2 separate regions of the Mus musculus genome follow, and region 2 is reported to be linked to region 1. The links are microRNA targets in miRTarBase. Many come from high-throughput screens and were not tested one by one. Region 1 holds a microRNA gene; the other region holds the end of a gene's coding sequence.

Region 1 (4,390 bases):
CAAAACGTGCAACACAATGAACCAGTTTGTGAACAAGTTCAACGTCCTCTACGACCGACAAGGCATTGGCCGGCGAATGCGGGGACTGTTTTTCTGATGATGGTTCTGGAAGGGATGGTGTGTGGGGCTCAGACAGCTGTTCCATGGACCTGAGTACCACATTCCCTTTAGAGAAACTCATTAATAAAAGAGCAGCCCCTTAGCAGCCCTTCCAGTGGCTTTGTCCTCTCAGGCACCACACTGGTTTCTCAACATGGACTCTTAAGGAAGCTTCACCCATTAATCCACATTTTTTGACCACCTACCCACCTTTTAATGACTCGAGGTGACCCCTTGTTGAAGTAGACAAAATGTGATAGGACGACCTGCTTGCTTCCAGTTTTTGTGCTCTGTGATCAATTCATGTCACAGCTCCACAGAAAGATTGCTTTCCCAGGCTAATTTAATTTCACTGCAAATGTTTCTCAAATAGGAAGGGGAGGGAAGCTGAATTCCATCTTTGTAATTGTGGTTATCTCAAGTCCTTGTTTTTCTATATCCTGAAGGTACCTAGGAGGGTGATATGTACCTCATCCTTAGGCCTTCCACTTAAGTCATACCTTGTGCTAGGCGCAACTTTCTGCCCTTCACATCCTGGTGTCATCACGTCTAGATGTGGGGGTCTAACAAACGAAATGTCCATAATTGGAAGCATCTCAAGAAACAGTGGTCCCAAGGCCTTCTATCTCCCAGATTGACTAGCACATAGTAAGGGTCAGTACTAGAGACTAGGGGAGGAGAGAGCATACTAAAAACTCTACAGAGTTATTAACAAGCAAGAGGCAATCAAAACACTTTATTGGCAGAATAAAAAAGTGCAGCATGGGAGAATGAGATTTTTTCTTGAGGGGGCATTCAGCATGCCCTCTGGTGTAGGCAGGAGGGTGTAAAAACTGGCTATCAGACAAAGGTGATCCGTGTCCGAGAAGTATTAACCTGCCAGACATTTAGCTCCTCATATTCATCCAGAGCTGCCTGGAACTGGGCTGGTGTGAAGCCACGAGATATGCAGCGCTGTTCAGCCTCAGAAAAGTGGACACTCCGCCCCCGTGACACCAATTCACGGATGGTGGCAAATATCACATCTGCTGGCCTCTGGGTCCTAAAAGACAAGGATGGAAAAGGTGAAGGTGCAAGGCCACAAACAGTAGCAGCAATCAGCATCAAAACCCTGAGGGCAAGCCAGGTCAATAAGCCCAGTGGTCCAGTCTCACTCTTCATTAAAATCCTCACCTAGCTGTCTGTCCCTTTTCACCTAGAAGGGAGTCCTTCGACATCTCCATCAACCTTATGGCTTCATTTACATCTTCCTTCTCCACAATGTCTACCATCCGAAGTCGAGCCTAAGGGGAAGGCATAGAAAAGATTGGGATAGGAGGGGAGGAGGGGAATGAAGTCAAGGATCTTTCTTTGCTCCAGCTTCAAGCCTGGGCAAGCCACATTTGCCTACTCATTGAACAAAAATGGGGACTCCTCCCTGCCCCCCCACATCTGCAGTGTTGGGCCGGCACTGTCAGACCGAGACAAGTGCAATGCCCAGGGCAGCGTCCAGCAATTGCCCAAGTCTCCGCCTCTCAACACTGGCCAGTCCCGGTGGGTGTTCAGCTGTCCTGTGAGGGAGACCAGACCCTTCTGAACTCCACTAGGCTCCCCATCAAACAAATGGAGCCTGGGGCGCTCAGCTAGGGCCACTATCAGAGGTTGTGTCCTGGGGGCTCGGGAAGTGCTAGCTCAGCAGTAGGTCAGGTAATTACACTACCTGCACGAACAGCACTTTGGAGCCCCCATGACTAAGGTCCAAGAGGGGAGGACAGAATGGAGATTTCTAAGATCATATCTAGGACACCAGGAATTCAAGTCCTAGCCCTCATGGATTCAAGCAGCAAGCAGCCTTTCCCTCCATGGGCGTTGCACGTGCCCTGCTGGAGCAGCAAGTACCCACAGTGCGGTAGCACAGAGAGGACCACTATCTGCACTGTCAGCACTTTAGTCCCAGCAGGGCTGGTAGGAGGGAAGGAGGCGGCTTGAGGGTCATTAGGTGAGGTGGCAGGCAGGGGTCAGCTTTCCAGCTGACAGGGACCCACCACTCACCAGAGCAGTGGAAAGTCGGAGAATGGCCAGCAGGGTCCGGGCAGAAGTATAGGTGGCATCCTTACTGGCCCGGGCCTCTCGCCTCATCTCCACATATGCTGCGGTGATGTAGTCAGCCAGAGATTCAGGCACTGTGGGCTGTCTCTCGTGGCACATGGCTATGTACCGTCTGTGGGAAACAAGGTTCATGGGAAAGCGGGAAAGCAGGCAGGCTTTATGAGATTCCCCACTTAATATTCTATGCTGACGTGGACAGTGAGGGATTTCTCCAAAACAGGGCTGCCAGGACACTTCAAGTAACTTCCAACTTTTCAGGAGAATGACATTTACCAAAGCACCTGTAGTGGGAGGATTTAACTTAACCCCTTGACAGACTTCAGAGACCATGTGAAAACCAGTTTAGAAACCCGAGTCATCTGTGCCATGGAAGCACTTATGGCCAAAAAGCTAGACCTGCCTCGGACAGGATTTAGAGAGTGAGAGAGGTTCCTTTATATACAGGAGGGAAGTAGTTTTTGGAGACATCCCCAAAATGACTCAGGTTTCAGAGTAGCTAGGATTATATAAGGCCTGCTGCTCTGTCATCCCAAAACAGAAAAAAAGTTTCTGATGATCCCTTGGCTACAGAGAGACCCAGGCTCAGCTACTTTTGAGGCTGAAATAGATAAGCAGATGAGTCCTTTCAAGACTCAATGCTTTCCAGACACACTTGGCATAAGACAATGCCACAGACCAGTACTCTCCCCAGACATACCCATCTCCACCCCTCCTACCTCATAAGTTTCATGTCCAAAGGTTCAAATTGGGCAGGGGGCTGCCGGCTGTGCTGGTGGACATAGGTGATGTGCTGGGCCAACCTGGAGAGAAGACGGGCGTCAGTCTTTAGAGCTCTAACACCCTGAGAATCTTGACTCAGTATCCCCTTTTAGCACCACCTCTTCTCCAAAGCATGGCAGACAGGCCTCCCAGAAAACCCTCAAGATCTTAGCTCCAACCTATCTCCATATGAACTGCAAACAAGGAAAGGTGTTTAAGGTGTCTGCACACAGACAAGTTGAGTGGCTTTCTGATTTTACCTCCCTGCCCCAAAGTCACTAAAATGGGCTGTCTCTATGGGTGTCATCTACTTCATTCACCGGAGGTCATTGTCTCTGTCGGGCCGGTCTTGAATCAGCCAGAGGAGGTCGAATCGAGAAAGCAGAGCAGCCGGAAGCTGGACGTTCTGCTCCAGACTGCGGCGGGGATTATATCGGCCGTAGGCAGGATTGGCCGCAGCCAGGATGGAGCATCGGGCATTGAGCGTGGTGAGAATCCCCGCCTTGGCGATGGAGATGGTCTGCTGCTCCATAACCTCATGGATGGCTGTGCGGTCAGCCTCGGCCATCTTGTCAAACTCATCAATGCAGCACACGCCCTGGTCAGCCAGCACCAGGGCACCGCCCTCTAAAGTCAGTTCTCCACTCACAGAGTCTCTCAACACAGCTGCTGTGAGCCCTACACCAGAGGAGCCACGGCCTGTTGTGTACTGACCTGCAAAGATAAAGAGCAAACTGCTGAAGAAAGGAACCGCTTTCCCCAGGCCTTCCAGAGGCCTTAGTGTTTATCAACCAAACACCAAGCCTCATCCCTGTTCACACTCACTTCGCGGTGCCAGACGGTCGATGTAAGATAGGAGCTGAGATTTGGCCACACCAGGGTCTCCCATAAGGCAGATGTGGATGTTTCCTGGCAAATGAGAAGGAAGCCTGAGTGATACTCTTTACCCAAGTTGTCCACCAACAGAGAAGAGCACTTGAGACCTGGTCCCTTCTTAAAGTCCAGACTACTTCTAAGACACAACAACCACTAAGGTAAATCATCAACTCTTGTCATTTACAGACTCTCGTGGGATGTTTTTTTACCCTCCCTCCTAAGTCTCTTGTCCTTCTTACCTCTGATCTTCATGCCTTGAGGAGACTGGTCCACACCACCCACCAGAAGCAGCAGCAGCGCCTTCTTCACATCTTCATGTCCATAGATCTCCGGAGCAATAGAAGCGGCCAGCTTCTCATAGAAATCCTCCTCTGCAAAAAATTAAGCCATAGCATTTCCTTCAGGACAAAATCTAGGATGGAGCTCAACTCTCAACTTGAGCTCGTGGTCCCTCACCTGCAATCTGCTTCAGCTCCTCTGAGCTCAGCTCTCCGGCCCCAGAGACATCATCGTCACTCTTTGTCATCTTCACAATCCAGTGGGCTTCCAGGTAAGTTTCTGAGAGTAA
Region 2 (4,390 bases), not on the chromosome of region 1:
GTTCGGAACCAGGTCGTTATCCCAAATCTTTGACATCATCGTATTTACTCCCTTCTGCTCCATTTTTATTTGATTTTTTTATGACATTTTAAATTCCATCCGAAAGGGAGCAGGCCCGACCGCATACTGAAGCTGGGAAGTGTATCTAGCGGTGAAACCCAAACAGTCTAGAAAACTCTAGCTCCTTGCCCTGCTTCTTGACTTATCTGACTGAAACCTTCATTCAGTACCAGCTGCTGAATCTGCAATGTATTTATTGTTCTGCAGGTACTGGAAAAACAAACACCTGTCACCCAAACGACTGAGCACAGGTATCCTAATGTATACTCTTGCATCTGCAATATGTGAAGAGATCCACTTGTACGGTTTCTGGCCCTTTGGATTTGACCCCAACACCAGGGAGGATCTGCCCTACCACTACTATGACAAAAAAGGAACCAAATTTACCACCAAGTGGCAGGAGTCTCACCAGCTGCCTGCTGAGTTTCAGCTGCTCTATCGAATGCATGGGGAAGGGCTCACGAAGCTCACTCTGTCACACTGTGCCTAAGAACTCCAAATGGAAAGTGCCAAACGGCTGATTAAAAAGTGCCCCCACCCCCAAACCAAATTGAATAGTCTCCAGAACAGAACCCATAGACAATCTGGCAAAGCCTGTCTGCCACTTACAAGGAAAGACGCCTTCTCTTCCTCTTTTGCACTGCTCTTTGAATGGTCTTAACAAACTTAGGACAGGTGCATTGAAGCCGTGTGATTTAGACTTGATTGGGAAAAGGTTATATTGCATTTGGAAGTATGCTGCACAGAGAATAGCTTGAAATAGTTCTAAGTTTGTATTTTAATAATAAACCGACTCCCATGTGAATGAGGAATGTGACTGTCATCTCCTCCTCTCTACTTTGATATAGTCCTCACAACCAGGGAGCTCTGGCCAGCTCCAGCAGGATCTCTTTAGCCAAGGGGATCAGAATCTTCAAAATAAAAAGTAAAAAAACTGGTTTGCAGGTTGCATTCTCTCTCTCTCTCTCTCTCTCTCTCTCTCTCTCTCTCTCACACACACACACACACACACACACACACACACACACACACTTCCTGTTGCCCTAGTACCAATTAGGAATACTTCTGGGCTAGCTTTGCTTGTATGTGTTTGCATCTGTACCCATTGTGTTCAAGGCTCTGGATAACTTGGATGTTTCATAACAAACTGAGCAAATCTTAATGTCTTCCCCCGTGAAGAATTCTATAGGAAATGCCTCTTATTCTTACTGGTCCATATTGTTATTCTACAGCATGGTGGTCTATTTGAGTAGAGTGGCATAAGCTACAGTGTCTCTTCTTTCTGTCAAAAAGAAAGCCCACAGTGTGGGTAGCATTGTGTCTGTTGGCATGAGCGAAGTTGTGGCAGATCCTGCAAGGGCTTTCTAGTGTAGCCTTCAACTATTTAATTTCAAGCGCTAGGCTGGGCACTCTCTCAGAAAAAAAAAAGAGTCATTGGGTTAATTTAAACCCTAGGGACTATAAAGAAAGGGGAAGAAGAGTGTTTGCAGGTTGTATACTCTGCAAAGAATTGTGACCATTGGAGACATTGGAGAAGCACAAGAGTTGGTGTAGAAGACAAACTAGAGCTTTGGCCAGACTGGTCCCTGTGTGACGCATGTTAGCATTAGTCATGTCAGATCCTTTCTGTGACATCTCCACCAACAAGGATCTAGACATGCTTGCTTTCTTTGAAACAGTTGAAGATATTATTCTCTGTTTCCAAGTCTGTGTGCCTATACATTGAGCATCTCAAAAAAGAAAAGCCATTATGCAGTGGGAATACTTGGTCCTAAGTAACCTTTGGGATTTGAGATCAGCTGGCCATTGTTCTCACTGCTTCAGCTGTATCCGTAGAAATCACATCGCTCCCATCCCAGGCGTTTACACTGAGCAGCACTTTGTTCTTGCAATTCAACCCAAAGTCTGGCCAAGTTGATGTTAAATTTTCATAAGACTTTCCTCTTTACAAGGGCCCATGGAGCACATTTGTTATATGTTCCAGTGGGTTATCTTGTTCTTGTCCAGAAATCTCATCTAGACAGCTTACAGTGTTGTAAATATTTTTAAAAGCCCTTGCTATAGTTCAGGCATCAGTGTACTGGCCCTTTTTGGGAAAAAACAAAACCAACCATTCCTAAAAAGAAGTGGAGTAAGGACATGCACTGTTCTTGTGTAGCGCCTGGTCCTGGAGCTGCACTGGTCTTTTCGAGGAGATAAATCGACCCCAGATAAATCTAGTGAAAGAAAGCCACTCAGATCCAAACACAATGCCAACTGTGGCACATCTTACCCTTTGTGAATGCCAGCCACTTAGATAGAGGAGAGGAACTAGGGGCTAAATATTTCAAAATAAGAAGCATTTACTATGCACAGGATAGTAAGAAAATTAAAATTATAAGGTATTTTTAAAAACACTTTAGAATTCAAGGACAATTTCATGGGCATGAAAATTATACCATGGCTGTGCCCTGTCACAGTAAGCCACACCATGGCTGTGCCCTGTCACTTTAAAGAGTGCAGGACACCATGCTGCTACTCTGGATGGGTGTGGGTCATGGAGACTTGACAGAATTGCAGCAGTTATCATCAGGACTGAAAAGCCTAGCTATTCCTAAGCCCTTAGCTCATTTGGTTGCAGCTAAGTTATTCCAATGCTAACATTATCCAGGCCAGATTCTGACTCGAAAGCTTTAATTTCAGTGTGCCCATCAGGTCTTACTAAATATAAACTTGGACTCTTTACACTAAGCAAGACAAAATACTCAAAGACTAGAAGATCCCCAAAGCTAGTTGAATGTTGTGGTGTTTTTTGTTATTTTTTTTAATGCACCTTTTAACCTCAGTTGTATCCTGGACCTGCTGTTCTGACCAACTGATTCTACAATTTTTTTTTTCTGTTTCCCAAAACTATTTCAACATGTAAACCAATGCAACAGCTTTCATGGCAGGAAGATTTTCTTATTAGAAAAGCAGCCAGAGTTTGTTGGCTCTCCCACAGTCCCCAGGCTTGTAGGCTCAAATGCAGTGGACAGAGCAGAGGGACCATTGAGTTTCCTGTTTATGCAGCTACACGCTCATACCCCACCCTTCTATGTTGGCTCCACTTGGTTGGATCTGGGTTAGTACATTCTTTTCTTAGAAACATACTCATTTTTTTCGGCTACCTAGAGCTGAGTACACCATCAGCTATGTGAATAAATTTCACTATAATGCTCCCAAGGCTGTCTGAAAATAACTACTTACTTAGCAGAGAAGACAAGGAAATTTACAAACTCCTGGCAGCATGAGTCAAAAGGTGGTTGCCATGACTTCCTCCCACACCCGGAAATTTGGGGTCTGTGTGTGAGTCTATGGAGCTGGTGATCCAACCCAGGACCTTGCTCATGGTAGACAAATACTCTACCATTGATCTCCATTCCCAGACTGTGTTCTCATGCTAAGCAACTTTAACCGTTATTTTTAAAAATGCAGTCTATCTAGTAGTACTGTGTGTCTGCCAATGCTGAATATGACCACTGAACCATCTGTCTCTGACCTGAATATCAGACATGGGCTATAGCAAGGATATACAAAGGAAGACCCCGTTCATTCACCTAACCTTCTGGTACCAAGGCTGTCAGTGCCAATGGATATGAGTGTCCAGACAAAACTAATATATCAGAGAATTCAATGAATATGAGTCCATGCTATCTCACCTCAAGCAAGGCCCCAAACACTCAGACAATAATTCATGAGCCCCAGAGAAGCAGGAACAATAGAAAGGGAGAAGTCATTGAGTTTTCTAACCCATGTTGGCTTTACAAATATTAAGGTTGAGATACAGATAGACTAATAGATTTTCCCCAAAATTTTACATAGATAATTATTGACGTTATGATTTCACATATTAATCTTATCAGAATCAAAGATCAGGTCAAAGGAAAGCAACTTAACTCTGGAATATTTGGAGCGTAAACATAATGGAGAGGGGCCGTAAGGGAAGAAGGGGAAAAGACTACTAAATGCACTTGCCTGGGTACACAGCAGTAGGGGAGATACCTGCCCAGTACACAGCAGCCTGCTGAAAACCACCCACTCTCCCCTAAAATGAGAGAGAAACCTGTTAATCCTTGACTGATAAGTCCCAGTTCTGTTATTGATGGTACACAGCTGACAGATGAAATTGTACCTGATAGTATATTCATCTCAATAAAATCATGTGTGCATGATTTAGAATTTGAAGGCTAAAAGTGGCTGTGTACTTCTCCTTGTATATAAAACTTTCAGCAAGGGCCCCTTGAGTTAAGAAACATTTTCCATCATGTAAGTAATCGAGACAACAGCCTTTGAACTATTGTATTCGTTCATT

What was found. Region 1 holds the annotated microRNA mmu-miR-106b-5p (UAAAGUGCUGACAGUGCAGAU, at 2,008-2,028, opposite strand). A microRNA usually pairs through its seed, bases 2 to 8, with sites in the 3' UTR of a target mRNA and lowers its output. Matches are read on the target gene's strand: a 7mer-m8 pairs with bases 2 to 8, a 7mer-A1 pairs with bases 2 to 7 and ends in A, and an 8mer does both.
Region 2: miRTarBase lists St8sia3 as a target of mmu-miR-106b-5p. Seed matches in the 3' UTR shown: 7mer-m8 at 1,936-1,942, 7mer-A1 at 2,455-2,461 and 7mer-A1 at 2,546-2,552.

Annotation. Positions count from the first base shown.
Region 1 is chr5:138,163,780-138,168,169 of GRCm38, forward strand. It overlaps Mir106b (microRNA 106b), which reads right to left and starts at 2,039; the gene lies at 1,958-2,039. It overlaps Mcm7 (minichromosome maintenance complex component 7), which reads right to left. Exons shown (of 15, transcript NM_008568.3): 8 at 4,279-4,390; 9 at 4,062-4,193; 10 at 3,772-3,855; 11 at 3,267-3,660; 12 at 2,904-2,987; 13 at 2,131-2,299; 14 at 1,273-1,382; 15 at 804-1,141. The coding sequence ends at 940. Mir25 (microRNA 25) reads right to left here and starts at 1,625; the gene lies at 1,542-1,625. Mir93 (microRNA 93) reads right to left here and starts at 1,831; the gene lies at 1,744-1,831. It also overlaps Cops6.
Region 2 is chr18:64,271,247-64,275,636 of GRCm38, forward strand. St8sia3 (ST8 alpha-N-acetyl-neuraminide alpha-2,8-sialyltransferase 3) reads left to right here. Exons shown (of 6, transcript NM_009182.3): 6 at 268-4,390. The coding sequence ends at 550. The region is part of intron 1 of St8sia3os (ST8 alpha-N-acetyl-neuraminide alpha-2,8-sialyltransferase 3, opposite strand); the gene reads right to left. Among named protein-coding and RNA genes, the nearest start is that of St8sia3os, 3.7 kb to the right of the region's middle.